2 linked regions of the Anolis sagrei genome follow. The protein of the gene in region 1 purifies or fractionates together with the protein of each later gene. This does not show direct contact. Links are inferred from orthologs where the notes say so. Each region holds a gene or a part of one and is shown in the gene's direction. Other genes may lie near its edges. The genes, in order: RETREG3 and REEP4.

Evidence for each region.
Region 2: the proteins of RETREG3 (region 1) and REEP4 purify together in Homo sapiens (affinity purification with mass spectrometry; 3 studies listed by BioGRID and IntAct, with this or other methods). This does not show direct contact. The link is inferred for Anolis sagrei from reciprocal best matches to the Homo sapiens genes RETREG3 and REEP4.

What each region holds. Positions count from the first base shown.
Region 1 is NC_090026.1:51,026,542-51,034,384, forward strand, and holds the start of RETREG3 (reticulophagy regulator 3), read left to right. Parts: upstream 1-4,457; 5' UTR 4,458-4,472; coding exon 4,473-4,870; intron 4,871-7,843. Other genes in the region: TUBG1 (tubulin gamma-1 chain), read right to left, coding at 1,194-1,306, 4,203-4,251. UniProt on the Homo sapiens protein: Endoplasmic reticulum (ER)-anchored autophagy regulator which exists in an inactive state under basal conditions but is activated following cellular stress.
Region 2 is NC_090027.1:23,057,990-23,066,915, forward strand, and holds the start of REEP4 (receptor expression-enhancing protein 4), read left to right. Parts: upstream 1-5,660; 5' UTR 5,661-5,712; coding exon 5,713-6,084; intron 6,085-8,662; coding exon 8,663-8,739; intron 8,740-8,926. UniProt on the Homo sapiens protein: Microtubule-binding protein required to ensure proper cell division and nuclear envelope reassembly by sequestering the endoplasmic reticulum away from chromosomes during mitosis.

The sequences.
Region 1 (7,843 bases):
TCCATACTTTTGTTTTTTCCACAATCGTGAGGCCAGGAGTGTTATGCTCCAAAATTCTGTCAGTCTGAATTCGGAAGTCCCAGAATAGTTTAAAGTGTTTATTTTACATAACTTTTTCAGGTTTGTGATCCCACCAGTTCTTTGTCACAGGCAGATGGTATTTGTGGCACAAGTTCCAATGGAACATCTGAGCAACTGTATTACACCTTTGCTTGTAATCCGTCTGCGCGATCTTCTTGCAATAGTTGAGTAGGTGATTCATCGTTTCGTCTGCTTCCTTACACTTGGAATCTGTCGTCAACTTTTCAGTTCTGACTTTGATTGTATTTGTTCTAATTTCTTGTTCTTGGGTTGCCAGAATCAGGCTCTCCGTCTCCTTTTTCAAAGTTTTATTTGAGCCACATCCATGTTTTTTCCTTATCAATTTTGCTCTCAATTTTTCCCAAGAACTGTCCAGAGGTTGTGAGGTCTGTTGGAATCTAGGAAAATTGGATTTATATATCTGTGAAAAGTCCAGGGTGGGAGAAAGAACTCTTGTCTGATGGAGGTAGGTATGAATGTTTCAATTCACCACCTTGATTAGCATTTGATGGCCTGACAGTTTTTATGCGTGCCTTTTTCCTGCCTGGGGGAATCTTTTGTTAAGAAGTGATTAGGTGTTCCTGATTGTTTCTTGTCTGGAGTTCCCCTGTGTTTGAGTTTTGTTCTTTATTTACTGTTATAATATTTTTAATACTGGTAGCCAGATTTGTTCATTTTCATGGTTTCTTCCTTTCTGCTGAAATTGTCCACATGCATATGGATTTCAATGGCTTCTCTGTGTAGCCTGACATGGTAGTTGTCCATGTCCAGCATTTTTGTGTTCTCAATAAAGTTTTTTAAAATTATTATTATTCCCAGGATTCCATAGCATTGAGCCATGGCAGTTAAAGTGGCACCAAGCTGCATTAATTCCACAGTGTAAATGCACCCCAGATCTCAAAACTTTTAAAATGAAGAAGACAGAATTACTCGATTATTTTCACAAAAGGACAAGTGATACAGCTTTTAAGAAATCATCACTTAAGAGCAAACCCAAACAGGGAAGTAAATAAAGTGCACAACTGAATGAGAAGAATGAGTGTGCTCACAAGCCACAGGCATTGAGTATTCTGCATCCTCAGAAGAAAACTGCCCAGAGAAAACTATCTTACCTGATAGAAAAACACATCTTTGCGATCAGTACCCTCTGTGGCAAATTCCTCCACAATGCCCTCAGGACTGATGCCATGCTCTGCACAAAGCTGCTTCCAGAATTCAAACCCAACTGCAAGAGGGAAAGGGAGAAGACAATTTGATGTAATGCAAAATGAGAGAAAGAACTATGAAAAAAAATCACATAAATACTAACCATCTAATAATGTAAAGGAAAACTGTAGAATTTTCTTCGTGGATAACAATAACAATAATAAATAATTTAATAAAAGATTTAATGTGAAACAATCGGTGATGAAAAGTTACGATCTATTTTCACCGGAGAACTGGAAATGAATATAGGAAGACCAGGAGACAAAGGCCCCTTCCACACAGCGGAATAAAATCTGCTTTGAACTGTGTTATCTGAGGCCCCTTCCACACAGCCATATAACCCAGAATATCAAGGCAGATAATCCACAGTATCTGCTTTGAACTGCATTATCTGAGTCCACACTGCCATATATTTATGTATTTATTTGCGACAGTTATATGCTGCCCTTCTCACACCGATCAACTTGTATGCAGAACACATCATGCGATGTGCAGAGCTTGATGAATGCAAGGCTGGGGTGAAAATTGCTGGAAGAAACATTAACAACCTCAGATATGCAGATGACACCTCTTTGATGGCCAAAAGCGAGGAGGAGCTGAGGAGCCTTCTAATCAAGGTGAAAGAAGAAAGCGCAAAAGTTGGGTTGCAGCAAAACATCAAAAAACCAAGATTATGGCAACAAGAATGATTGACAACTGGGAAATAGAGGGAGAAACTGTGGAGACTTTGTATTTCTAGGTGCAAAGATTACTGCAGATGCAGACTGCAGTCAGGAAATCAGGAGACGCTTACTTCTTGGGAGGAGAGCAATGGCCAATCTCGATAAAATGGTGAAGAGTAGAGACATCACACTTGCAACCAAGATCCGCATAGTTAAAGCAATGGTATTCCCCGTAGTCACTTATGGATGTGAGAACTGAACCATAAGGAAGGCTGAGCAAAGAAAGATGCTTTTGAACTGTGGTGTTGGAGGAAAGATCAAAGAGTGCCTTGGACCGCCAGAAGATCCAAACAGTCCATACTTCAGAAAATAAAGCCTGACTGCTCATTGGAGGGAAGGATAGTCGAGACCAAGATGAAGTACTTTGGCCACATCATGAGAAGAAAGGAAAGTTTAGAGAGTAATAATAATAATAATAATAATAATAATAATAATAAATTATTATTAAGCTTGTAATTGAATTTCTTTTTTTCTTCCATTTTTTTTGCTATTAACAATTTAGCTGCTGTTATCAAATTAGAGAGCAATTCTTTCTCCTCTTGTAAGGGAATTATATTATCATGTATAAGTAATAATGCTAATTTTGGTGTAATCCCAATCCCTATTTTTATTATTGCTCTTATTTCTTTGAATATGCTTTATAAGCATTATTATTAATGCTTATAAAGTATATTGAATATGCTTAATAAGCATTATTATTAAGCATATTATTAGCATTATTATTAAGCATATTATTGAATACGCTTAATAAGCATTATGATTAAGCTTAGAGAATACAATGATGCTGGGGAAAATAGAAGGAAAAAGGAAGAGGGGCCAACCAAGGGCAAGATGGATGGATGGCATCCTTAAGTGACTGGATTGATCTTGAAGGAACTGGGGGTGGTGACGGCCGACAGGGAGCTCTGGTGTGGGCTGGTCCATGAGGTCATGAAGTGTCGGAAACGACTGAACGAATGAACAACTCACTCCGGAAGGGACTCAGAGCGGTTTACAAGATATATATATACATACAATATATATTCCTAGTATAGCACAGTTTCAGTATTATATATTACTATATTGTACTATGCCATTGTACTGTAATATTATTAGTAATATTACATATAACATAAAATATATAATTATATATAATTATATAGATGTTCAACATCTTTATTAATGACTTAGATGAAGGGTTAGAAGGCAGGATCATCAAGTTTGCAGACGACACCAAATTGGGAGGGATAGCCAATACTCCAGAGGACAGGAGCAGGATTCAAAACGATCTTGACAGATTACAGAGATGGGCCAAAACTAACAAAATGAAGTTCAACAGTGACAAATGCAAGATACTCCACTTAGGCAGAAAAAACGAAATGCAAAGATACAAAATGGGGGACGATGCCTGGCTTGAAAGAAGTTCGTGTGAAAAAGATCTTGTGAGTCCTCGTGGACAACAAGTTAAACATGAGCCAACAATGTGATGTGGCGGCAAAAAAGGCCAATGGGATTTTGGCCTGCATCAATAGGAATAATAATAATAACAACAACAACAACAATCCTTTATTTATATCCCACCACCATCTCCCCAAGTGGAACTCTCTGCCCCCGAGTGTGGTGGAGGCTCCTTCTTTGGAAGTTTTTAAACAGAGGCTGGATGGCCATCTGCCAGGGGTGCTTTGAATGCAATATTCCTGTTTCTTGGCAGAATGGGGTTGGACTGGATGGCCCATGAGGTCTCTTCCAACTCTTTGATTCTATGATTATTATGATATTGTATTACATTATAATATTATAAACATATTTGTTGTTCATTCGTTCAGTCGTCCCCGACTCTTCGTGTTTTATATATATATATATATATATATATATAATTATTATTATTAGCAAAACAGGAAACAAGATGGAACTGTCTTCCTGGGGCCCCCTCTTTTTATATATATGTGTGTGTATGTGTGTGTGTATATATTCCAGCTCAAAGAGGAAAACGTGGGGATGTATACAGCTGTGTGGAAGGGGCTTTAGGTTGTCTGGCAGTGTGGACTCATATAATCCAGAAAACCTGGGATCCGGTCCTGGGATATGGGGCCTGTCTGGAAAGGCCCTAAGACCCTTTGCCCAAAGCCTAGGCCCAGCCCCATTCGTTTCCACTGAGGAAGAAAGACCCACAGGCCCCTCTGATTGCCCTCACCGCCCTCTTTGGAGCCTTACTTTGGTTGCCACACTGGCCCAGCTGCAGCGTGATGATCTCCCTCGGCATGGCGGCTCCTTCTCCGCCCGCTTCCCGCCTAGAAATAAAACGCCGCCGTTAGCCGCGCGCTTTCTGTGTTTTCTCCCTCTTGCTAGCCGCTCTCTCTCCCTGGCAACGCGCATGCGCGGCAGAAAACATTTCCCCCTCAATTCATTGGATGAAAGACGCGAGCGCAAGTCTCCTGCCGTACGCCAAGATGGCGCGCAAGCAACATAGTAGAGGGGGCGGCCATGACAGTGTTGTGCGCACGCGCGCACCGGCTTCTTGTGTTGAGACAGAGCCTGCCCCCCCTCCTCTCTCTCTCGGCCGTTGGTGACGGGGAAACGAAATGTTCCTGCCGCCAGTTCCACCGGTCTCCCGGTGACGCTGGGCTTTTTGTGAGGGGAAGAAGAAGAATGGAAGCGGCGGGGGAAGAAGGGAGCAGCAATGGCGGCGGTAGTGGTTCCCTCAGAGGCGTCCAGGCCCCGGCGGCGGAGCAGCGGGAGCAACGAGTGCGCGCCCTGAGCTCCTCTCTGAGGGGCCGCCTCGGGCCTTACGAGCCGGCGTTGAGCAGCCTGCAGGCCACGCTCGTGTGGGAAAGGCCGGCCAGGAGCGCCTTGGCATGGGCAGGAGCCCACGCGGCCTTCGGGTGAGAGGCCTGGGCGAGGCGGGGGCGCTGTCTAGGCCAGGCATGGGCAAACTTCGGCCCTCCAGGTGTTTTGGACTTCAACTCCCACAATTCCTAACAGCCGATAGGCTGTTAGGAATTGTGGGAGTTGAAGTCCAAAACACCTGGAGGGCCGAGGTTTGCCCATGCCTGGTGTAGGGTCTCCACCTGCTATCCCTTCCTTTTATATTGTCCTCTGAGGTGTTCAGGTGGAGCATCCCTTGTCTGAAATCCTCCCAAGTGGGTGTCTTGTTGACAGCTTTGCTTTTTGGGTAGTCTCAACAGACACAAATGTTTTGTTTCATCCCTAATAATATAATTTCTATGAAACTAGCTGTCCCCTGCCACGCGTTGCTGTGGCCCAGTCTGTTGATCTGGAAAACAAAGAAATTAGAAAGTGTTGGTTTCTAATATATGTAATTCCTTTATGCTTGTGGCTAAACAGTATTTCTTGCTGCTTCTATGTCAGTGTTGATGTGGAGGTTGTCTGGTTTGCCTACTCTGGAACATGCAACATATCATTGTCCTTCTTTAGGGGGTCCTTTTCAAATCTATGATACTATGTCTTTGTGTGTGTGAATCATATCTATCTATCCATCCATCCATCTATCTATCTCTATGGCAGGATGGCTCTTTGTCAGGAGGACTTTGATTACGTTTTCTTGCCCTGATGAAGGGAGTTGGATTGGATGGCCTTAAGTATTTTCTGTTGGTCATGGGGGTTCTGTGTGAAAAGTTTGCCCCAGACTCAAGGTCAATGCCCACCAAACCCTTCCAATATTTTCTGTTGGTCATGGGAGTTCTGTGTGCCAAGTTTGGTTCAATTCCATTGTTGATGGAGTTCAGAGTTTGATTGTAGGTGAACTATAAATCCCAGCAACTACAACTCCCAAATGACAAAATCATAATTTTTTGAGTGATGGTCACTCCTTGTGTTGTGAAACGTTTTGTTGACAAATTTGGTGTGATTTCATTCATTGGTTCTTTTGTTTTTAAGGTACTAATTATGCACAGAGCATTTATATATATAGATAGATTACTTTAAGGCTATGTGCGTAAAAAGTGTCTAATATGAACCATAAATGTATCTTGGATTTTGACTCGGGAAACCCATTTCCAAGATATTTCTTTATGTGCATTTAGGTAAATGCAGGTTATGAACAATATGGGTTCTGTGGCTTTGTTCCTAAGTTATTTTTATTAATAATTATAATAAGTTGTTTATTTGACTAGTCATATGACCATTACAAAATTGTTGTTCATTCGTTCAGTCGTTTCCGACTCTTCATGACCTCATGGACCAGCCCACGCCAGAGCTCCCTGTCGATCGTCACCACCCCCAGCTCCTTCAAGGTCAATCCAGTCACTTCAAGGATGCCATCCATCCATCTTGCCCTTGGTCAGTCCCTCTTCCTTTTTCCTTCCATTTTCCCCAGCATCATTGTCTTCTCTAAGCTTTCCTTTCTTCTCATATTTCATCTTGGCCTGTCTTCTCATAATATGGCCAAAGTACTTCATCTTGGCCTCTAGTATCCTTCCCTCCAATGAGCAGTCAGGCTTTATTTCCTGAAGTATGGACTGGTTGGATCTTCTCACAGTCCAAGGCACTCTCAGAACCTTCCTCCAGCACCACAGTCCAAAAGCATCTATCTTCCTTCACTCAGCCTTCCCTATGGTCCAGCTCTCACATCCGTAGGTGACTACGGGGAATAGCATTGCTTTGATTATGTGGATCTTTGTTGCCAGTGTGATGTCTCTACTCTTCACTATTTTATCAAGATTGGTCATTGCTTTCCTCCCAAGAAGTAAGCGTCTCCTGATTTCCTGACTGCAGTCTGCGTCTGCAGTAATCTTTGCACTTAAAAATACGAAGTCTGTCACTGCCTCCACGTTTTCTCCCTCTATTTCCCAGTTGTCAATCATTCTTGTTGACATAATCTTTGTTTTTTTATGTTTAACTGCAACCCAGCTTTTGTGCTTTCTTCTTTCACCTTGATTAGAAGGCTCCTCAGCTCCTCCTCGCTTTCAGCCATCAAAGTTCCTAAGTTACTTTTGTAATAATTATAATAATAATTTGTTTATTTGACTAGTCATATGACCATTTCAAAATACAACACGAATAAAATACAAGGCAAAAAGGAAAAGACAGCAGCTGACCTTCTATTTACAGTCAGAATCTTATTTTCCTGGTTCTTCTTTCAGGAAATCTGCTCTTTTCTTGATAGCTTTCAGAATAAAAAGGCACATTCTGATTATGGTAGATCTTTCTTGTCCTTGCAATAAGAATGTCAGAAAATCATTTCTGCTCGGGGACCTGTAGTTGGATAATATTGGATGTAAATATGTGTTTTGCAGTTCAGCATATGCTGGACAGTCAGTTAAGAAATCTTCAATATCTTCCACTGTTTTTTCTCCCCATACGCAGAATCTCTTTCAAGTTACTTTTGTATGTAACCCAACTCTAAATCAGTGCTTGTCGTCAGTAAGGGACTGGATGAGGGCAAGCAAATTGAAACTAAATCCAGACAAGACAGAGATACTCCTGGTCAGTCGGAAAGCATACCAGGGAATAGGGATCCAGCCTTTGCTGGATCCCTATTGCACACTGTGCTGGATCCCTATTGCAACAAGATATGGATCTATAGTTTGGGGGTCCTCCTCGACTTGGCACTGAACCTGGAGGCCCAGGTGTCCGTTGTAATTAGGAGGGCCTTTGCACAATTAAACTTGTGCACCAACTGTGCCCATTCCTTGAGAAGCCAGATCTGGCCATGGTGGTCCATGCCTTAGTTACATCCCATCTAGATTTCTGTAACATGCTCTGCATAGGGCTACCTCCGAAGAGCGCTTGGAAACTTCAGCTGGTCCAAAGAGCTGCAGCCAGGTTGTTCAATGGTTACAGGGAACAGACACTCCCCTGTTGAAGCAGCTCCACTGGCTGCCAGTCTGTTTCCA
Region 2 (8,926 bases), on another chromosome or scaffold:
TCTATCTATTTTTGTCTTTCTATTTAATCTATCTATATAATCTATATAATTTATCCACCTATCTATTTAATCTATGTAGTCTAATCTGTTTTTTCTACTTAATTTATCTACTTAATCTATCTATTTAATCTCTCTCTATTTAATATCTCTCTCTATTTAATCTATCTCTCTATTTATCTATCTAATATAACTATCTATTTAATTTGTCTATTAATTTAATCTAATCTATTTTTCCATTTAATTTATCTATCAATGTATCTATCTACTCTATCTATTTTTGTCTTTCAATTTAATCTATCTAATCTATCTATTTAATCTATCTATTCTAATCAATTTTTCTTATCTATCTATCTATCTATCTGTATCTATCTATCTATCTGTATCTATCTGTATCTATCTCTATCTATCTATCTATCTATCTATCTATCTATCTATCTATCTATCTATCTATCTATCTATCTATCTATCTATCTATCTATCTATCTATCTATCTATCTATCTATCTATCTATCTATCTATCTATCTATCTATCTATCTATCCACTCAAAGGTCAACTTTCAACTTTCTCCCTGCAGTTTACTGGCTTCCCCCATTGGTGCATTCGAAGGCGGGGGCGTGGCCGCCAGCAGCCAATGGGCGCACGCGGAGGAGGGTGTCCGAGGATTCCGCGCATGCGCAGTGACCTTGGCGTCTCTGTTGTCCGGCGGTTGCAAAGGAGCCGAAAGGAAAGGAAGGAAGGAAGGAAGGAAGGAAGGAGGGAGGCGACCATGGTTTCGTGGCTTCTCTGCCGTGCCGTCGTGTGAGTCCGGGGGGGGCTGTTCGGATGCCCTCGAGGGCCCTTCCTTTCCATCCCTGACGTTTGACGGCATGGCCATCTGTCGGGGTGGCTCAGATGGTGCTTCACAGAAGGGGGCTGGACTGGATGACCTTTTGGGGTCCCTTCTACCTCCGGGCTTCTCCCCCATGGTTCCCCTTCTACTTCCGGGAAAGGAGTGACTATTTAGGAGCCATAAAGAGGGATCTGCCCTAGGCCCAATTATTATTATTATTATTATTATTATTATGTTTATTTATACCCCGCTTTATCTCTCCCAAAGGAGACCCAAAGTGGCAATGTATGTATGTATGTATGTATTATTATTATTATTTATACCCTGCTTTATCTCTCCCTAATGAGACTCAAAGTGGCTATGTATCTATTATTATTACTATTATTATTGTCCTGCATTATTTTTCCATAATGAGACTCAAAGCTGCTATGTATCTATTATTATTATTATTATTATTATTATTGTTTATTTATACCCCGCTTTATCTCTCCCAAAGGAGACCCAAAGTGGCTATGTATCTATTATTATTATTATTACTATTATTATTGACCCGCATTATCTCTCCCTAAGGAGACTCAAAGCCACTATGTATCTATTATTATTATTATGTTTATTATGTTTATTTATACCCTGCTTTATCTCTCCCAAAGGAGACCCAAAGTGGCTATGTATCTATTATTATTACTATTATTATTGTCCTGCATTATCTTTCCCTAATAAGACTCAGTCTCTATGTATCTATTATTATTATTATTATTATTATTATTACTATTATTATTGTCCCTCATTATCTCTCCCTAATGAGACTCAAAGCTTCCATGTATCTATTATTATTATTATTATTATTATTATTATTATTATCCTGCATTATCTTTCCCTAATGAGACTCAAACTGCTATGTATCTGTTACTATTATTAATGTCCTGCATTATCTCTCCCTAATGAGACTCAAAGTCACTATGTATCTATTATTATTATTATTGTTGTTGTTGTTGTTATTGTTATTATGTTTATTTATACCCTGCTTTATCTCTCCCAAAGGAGACCCAAAGTGGCTATGTATCTATTATTATTACTATTATTATTAACCCGCATTATCTCTCCCTAATGAGACTCAAAGCCGCTATATATCTATTATTATTATTATTATTATTTATACCCCGCTGTATCTCTCCCGAAGGAGACCCAAAGTGGCTATGTATCTATTGTTATTACTATTATTATTGACCCACATTATCTCTCCCTAATGAGACTCAAAGCTTCCATGTATCTATTATTATTATTATTATTATTATTATTATCCTGCATTATCTTTCCCTAATGAGACTCAAACTGCTATGTATCTGTTACTATTATTATTGTCCTGCATTATCTCTCCCTAATGAGACTCAAAGTCACTATGTATCTATTATTATTATTGTTGTTGTTGTTGTTATTATGTTTATTTATACCCTGCTTTATCTCTCCCAAAGGAGACCCAAAGTGGCTATGTATCTATTATTATTACTATTATTATTGACCCGCATTATCTCTCCCTAAGGAGACTCAAAGTCTCTATGTATCTATTATTATTATTATTATTATTATTATTATTATTATTATTATGTTTATTTATACCCTGCTTTATCTCTCCCGAAGGAGACCCAAAGCGGCTATGTATCTATTATTATTATTAACCTGCATTATCTCTCCCTAATGAAACTCAAAGCCACTCTGTATCTATTATTATTATTATTATTACTATTATTATTAATACCCTACTTTATCTCTCCCGAAGGAGACTCAAAGCGGCTGACGCACAATTTGAAACATGCAAATATGCAAACATTAAACCAGAATTAAACATAACAGCGCTTTAAAATTCACAGTTTACATCCATTAAGACATATTCAAAGCTAAAAATCCTGTTCAACATCTTTATTAATGACTTGGATGAAGGTTTAGAGCAGACATGGGCCTGCTTGGGCCCTCCAGGTGTTTTGGACTCCAACTCCCCCCATTCCTAGCAGCCTACTGGCTGTTAGGAATGGTGGGAGTTGACGTCCAAAACACTGGAGGGCCCAAGTTGGCCCCTGCCTGCCTTAGCGGGAATGCTTTTTTTCAAGTTTGCAGATGGGAAGCTCCTTCCTTGGAGGCTTTTAAATAGAGGCTGGATGGCCATCTGTTAGGAATTCTTTGAGTGTGCTTTTCCTGCATGGCAGGAAGGTGTGGGACTGGATGGTCCATGTAGTCTCATCTAATTATGGTTCTATAGGAGTCTAATTAGATTGTGATTCTATGATGAGACGTCGCGAATGATTTAGTGTAATTGTATTATTGATAGTGATGTTGTTATTGTTGTTTGTGATATTGCCTTTATTGTAAATTGTTTTTATATGTTGTACACCGCCGTGAGTCGCCCTAGGGCTGAGAACGGCGGTCTACAAGCGCAGTAAATAAATAAATAAATAAATAATTGAGTCTCCTTCTCTGGAGGTTTTAAAGCAGAGGCTGGGTGGCCATCTGTCAGTAGGGATTGGATATAATCTCACTTTACGGTTGAAAGGGGCTGGACTGGGTGGCCCCTTCCCACCTCTAGGATGCTATGATTCAAGGAGGGGAGTGAATGCTGGGAGGGAGAATAGAAGTGCAGGACATAGAGTTGGAAAGGATTATCCAAAGGCCATCCAGCCCAGCCTCCTTCTGCCAGGCAGGAAAACTCGAGCCAAACCCTCCTGACAGATAGCCATCCAGACTCTATGTTGTTGAAGTCTTTCATGGCCGGAATCAGGAGCTCCCAGTGGCGCAGTGGGTTAAACCCCTGCGCCAGCAGGACTGAAGATTGACAGGTCGCAGGTTCCAATCCGGGGAGAGCAAGGATGAGCTCCCTCTGTCAGCTCCAGCTCCTCATGCGGGGACATGAGAGAAGCCTCCCACAAGGGTGGTAAAAACATAAAAAAAACATCTGGGGGTCCCCTGGGCAACAGCCTTGCAGACGGCCACTTCTCTCACACCAAAAGCGATTTGCAGTTTGTCAAGTAGCTCCTGACAAGACCAAAAAAAAAAGAGGTTGTGAGGGCTGTTGGAAACTAGGCAGATGAATGTATTGTCGAAGGCTTTCATGGCCGGAATCACTGGGTTGTTGTAGGTTTTTTTGGGCTATGTGGCCATGTTCTAGAGGCATTTCTCCTGACATTTTGCCTGCATCTATGGCAAGCATCCTCAGAGGTAGTGAGGTCTGTTGGAACTAGGAAAAGGGGTTTATATATCTGTGGAATGACCAGGGTGGGACAAAGGACTCTTGTCTGCTGGAGCTAGGTGTGAATGTTTCAACTGATCGCCTTGATTAGCATTTAATGGCCTGGCAGTGCCTGTAGCAATCTTTTGTTGAGAGGTGATTAGATGTGCTTGTTTGTTTCCTCTCTGTTGTTGTGCATGTGGACAATTTCATTTTCGTGGTTTCCAAGGAGGAAACCACGAAAATGAACAAAATCTGGCTACCAGTATTAAAAAACTCTAAAATTAGAACAGCATATAACATACATAAATCCTCCGCATGACCATACAGCCTGGAAAACTCATAGCAACCCAGTGATTTCGGCCATGAAAGCCTTGACTACACATGCCTGCCACTTCAGGAGGAGAAGGAGGAAATCTTGCTGCTTCTCTCCCCCCCCCCCCCCGCCCTCAAGCCAACTAAGAGGAGGAAGGGGAGTGAGGAAGAGAGTTTAAAAACACCTGTCTCCTGGCTGTTGCTTACTACATCTGCCTGCCACCTCAGGAGGAGAAGGAGGAAATCCTGCTGCTTCTCCCCCCCCCCCACCCTCAAGCCAGCTAAGAGGAGGAAGGGGACTGAGGAAGAGACTTTAAAAACACCTGTCTCCTTCTGTTGCTTACTACATCTGCCTGCCACCTCAGGAGGAGAAGGAAGAAATCCTGCTGCTTCTCGGCCCCCTCCCCCGCCCCATCCTCAAGCCAACTAAGAGGAGGAAGGGGACTGAGGAGGAGACTTTAAAAACACCTGTCTCCTGGCTGTTGCTTACTACATCTGCCTGCCACCTCAGAAGGAGAAGGAGGAAATCCTGCTTCTTCTCTCCCCCCCCCTTCGCCCTCAAGCCAGCTAAGATGAGGAAGGGGACTGAGGAAGAGACTTTAAAAACACCTTTCTCCTGGCTGTTGCTTACTACATCTGCCTGCCACCTCAGGAGGAGAAGGAGGAAATCCTGCTTCTTCTCCCCCCGCCCTCAAACCAAATAAAAGGAGGAAGGGGACTGAGGAAGAGACTTTAAAAACACCTTTCTCCTGGCTGTTGCTTACTACATCTGCCTGCCACCTCAGGAGGAGAAGGAGGAAATCCTGCTTCTTCTCCCCCCGCCCTCAAACCAAATAAAAGGAGGAAGGGGACTGAGGAAGAGACTTTAAAAACACCTTTCTCCTGGCTGTTGCTTACTACATCTGCCTGCCACCTCAGGAGGAGAAGGAGGAAATCCTGCTTCTTCTCCCCCCGCCCTCAAACCAAATAAAAGGAGGAAGGGGACTGAGGAAGAGACTTTAAAAACACCTGTCTCCTTGCTGTTGCTTATTATTTCTTTTCTGATTTTATATTGTATTTAATGTTTTTATGTTCATTTTGATATTATGTATATTACTTGTTGCCTGTAAACCGCCTTGAGTCGCTGGAGGGCTGAGAAAGATGGTATACAAATACAGTAAATAAATAAATAAAAATAAATACATTGTGACTAAATTGTGGGATCATTAGCCACTTTGAGTCCCAATTGGGGAGAAAGGCGGAGTATCAATAAAATTATTATTATTATTATTATTAATAATAATAATAATAATATTTTGGGGGAGAGTCTGGCAATGGTTGCTTTCGTTTGAGACCTGCGAGGGAGGAGGTATGGCCGAGGAGCCGGTTTGCCTAGTCTGGTCCTGCCCCAGTTGGGAAACCGGCCCTTCCTGTGTGGGAGGGAGAGGAGCATCCCAGAAGGGGTGTTTTGAGTGGCTCCTTCGAAGTCTTAACTCTGCAATACGCCTCTCCTTCGATCCTCATTTGGGGCAGGGGCTTCCTTTCTTTGGAGCCACCATGGAAGCCCTGAAGGCCAAGGCGGTGCGCCAGGCCAAGAAGTACGGTCTCTGGCTCCTAGCCGGACTGTACCGCTGCTGGCCGGCTTTCCTGACCCCACCGTTCCGTTACAGGCTGATCTTTGGGATGCTCTACCCGGCCTACGCCTCCTACAAGGCCGTGAAGACAAAGAACATCCGGGAATACGTGAGTTTTTTGCATGACAACAATGACGAAGGGACCACAGGATAATGCTTAGTTAGGGATGAGGTTGATTGAATGGGGTTTGATCTAATGGACTTGTGCATTTATGGTTGAAGAAGGGGATTGTTGGAAATCAACTCCACACTGGCCAAGTTTCAAGTCCTCAGTGAGAAACAGTTTAGTTAGCTTAGAATAGACTAAGGCAGTTTGTCTCAATGTGGGGGATGGGACCCCTGGGGGCAGGGGCGGCTCAACCCATTACGCAAAGTAAGCATTCACAGTATAGTTGATTTTGCCCAGGGGCGCTCTTGGGGGAAAATAGACCTTGACATATGCGAGTTGTAGTTACTGGGATGTATAGTTCACCTACAATCAGAGAGCATTCTGAACTCCACCGATGATGGAATTGAACCAAATGTGGCACACAGAACTCCCACGACGAACAGAAAATATATATTAGTGATTGGTTGGGGGCGGGGGGCGGCAAAATACTATTTGCTTACCGTTGAAAATTACCTCTTCCTGGGGGGGTCATGAGGGGGTGTCAGAGGGGTCGCCAAAGACCATCAGAAAACACAGTATTTTCTCTTGGTCATGAGGGTTCTGTGTGGGAAGTTTGGCTCAATTCTATCGTTGGGGTTCAAAATGCTTTGATTGTAGGTGAACTATAAATCCCAGTAACTATAACTCCCAAATGTCAAGGTCTATTTCTCTCAAACTCCATCTGTGTTCATATTTGGGTATATAGAATATTCGTGCCAAGTTTGCTCCAGATCCATCATTGTTTGAGCCCACAGTGTTCTCTGGATGTAGGTGAACTACAACTCCCAAACTCAAGGTCAATGCCCACCAACCCTTCTAGTGTTTTTGGTTGGTCATGGGAGTCCTCTGTACCGCGTTTGGATCAATTCCATGATTGGTAGAGTTCGGGATGCTCTTTGATTGTAGGTCATCGATAAATCCCAGCAACTACAACTCCCAAATTGCAAAATCAGTTCCCACTCCTTGGTTTAGTAGGTTTCTTGTGGCCAAATTTGACGGCAATTCGTCCAGTGGTTTTTGAGTTACGTTAATCCCACAAATGAACATTACATTTTTATTTATATAGATGATAGAGGCACATTTGTTTTGTTAAAATACTTCGAAAATATTTGGAGAGTTTGTATCTTAAAGCATATAAACAAGCCTCAACAGTTTAGTAGCTTCTAACATTAGCTTCTGCACACTAAAAGACATTCTATTAACAAGGCTCAAAGCTCAACTGACTTCTAACAGGCTCAAGACTCATCTGACTTCTCTAACTGAATTCCTTTTAACACGGAACATCCTAAACCATCACATGCTTGCACCCCTCCCACTGCTTCAGTACAAAAGACGAGGCAACTGCAGACTACAAACAAGAACCATAGAATCATAAGTTGGAAGAGACCTCGTGGGCCATCCAGTCCAACCCCCTGCTAAGAAGCAGGATAATCAAATTCAAAGCACCCCCAACAGATGGCCATCCAGCCTCTGCTTAAAAGCCTCCAAAGAAGGAGCCTTCACCACACTCCGGGGCAGAGAGTTCCACCGCTGAACAGCTCTCACAGTCAGGAAGTTCTTCCTAACATTCAGGTGGAATCTCCTTTCCTGTAGTTTGAAGGTTACAAAATGACATACTAATGAAATAGACAAACCTCACATAGAGGAGGCTTGAGAGGTTGCTTCCTCCAACACTTATTTCCACATCAAGCCACATTTTGGAAAAGCCAATTCTCACAGGGACAGAAAGCAAGGGGAAATCTTTGAACAGGGGCATGGACAGTAAAGGAAATGGTACACCTTCCCTATGCTCTCCAAACCTTATCTGTCTGTCTATCTGTCTTTGGCTGGAGTTAGACTTCAAAAATGTCCCTGTTCCGACTTACATACAAATGCAATTTAAGAACAAATCTAAAGAACCTCTCTTATGTGCTGTGTGCTTTGAGATTTCTCTCTGCTTGTGTGTCAGGAGAGATGTAGTGATTAATTTTTTCCCTCTCTGGAAACCTTAGAAGAGATGGGTGTTAGAGTAGCTCAGACCTAGTATCTTAGGGAACGGCCTTATTTATTTATTTACTTCATTTATATACTGCTTTTCTCAGCCCTTGGGCGACTCAAAGTGGTTAACAATAGCAAAATTCAATGCTCAACATCATAAAAACAGTAAAAAAATAAAACAATGACATAATAAACAATCAATAAAACATAACTATAACATCTCATAGGTAGAATCAAGATCCAATCTCATCATCCGTTGTTCCATATTCCTATATTCATTACACTGCCTATTCAAATGCCTGCTCGAATAACCAGGTCTTCACTTTCCTCCGAAATGTCAACAGGGAGGGGGCCAATCTAATATCTGTAGGAAGGACGTTCCACAGCCGAGGGGCCACCACTGAGAAGGCCCTGTCTCTCGTCCCCGCCAGACATACTTGTGATGCAGGCGGGACCAAGAACAGGGCCTCCCCAGATGATCTTAACATCCTAGCTTTGTGGCCAAGAAGGAGAGATGTTGCATTGGCAGGATTCCATTAACACTTCCCTGGTTTCCTGGCAGGTGCGCTGGATGATGTACTGGATCGTGTTTGCCCTCTTTATGGCCACCGAGACTGTTGCAGACACCTTCATTTCTTGGTAAGTCTTCCTTACCCGAATCTGAACCGCATTCCCCAAAATCCCCTTTCTTCCCTGGTCTCGAATGCATCGCAGTACTTGGGAATCATGCTCCAGTCTTTTGGCCCTGCCTCTCTCTTCCCAGGACAAAGTCTTGAGTCACATTTTGTTTGATTTAGTCATTAGTTTGCAACTGTCAGAGCCTTCA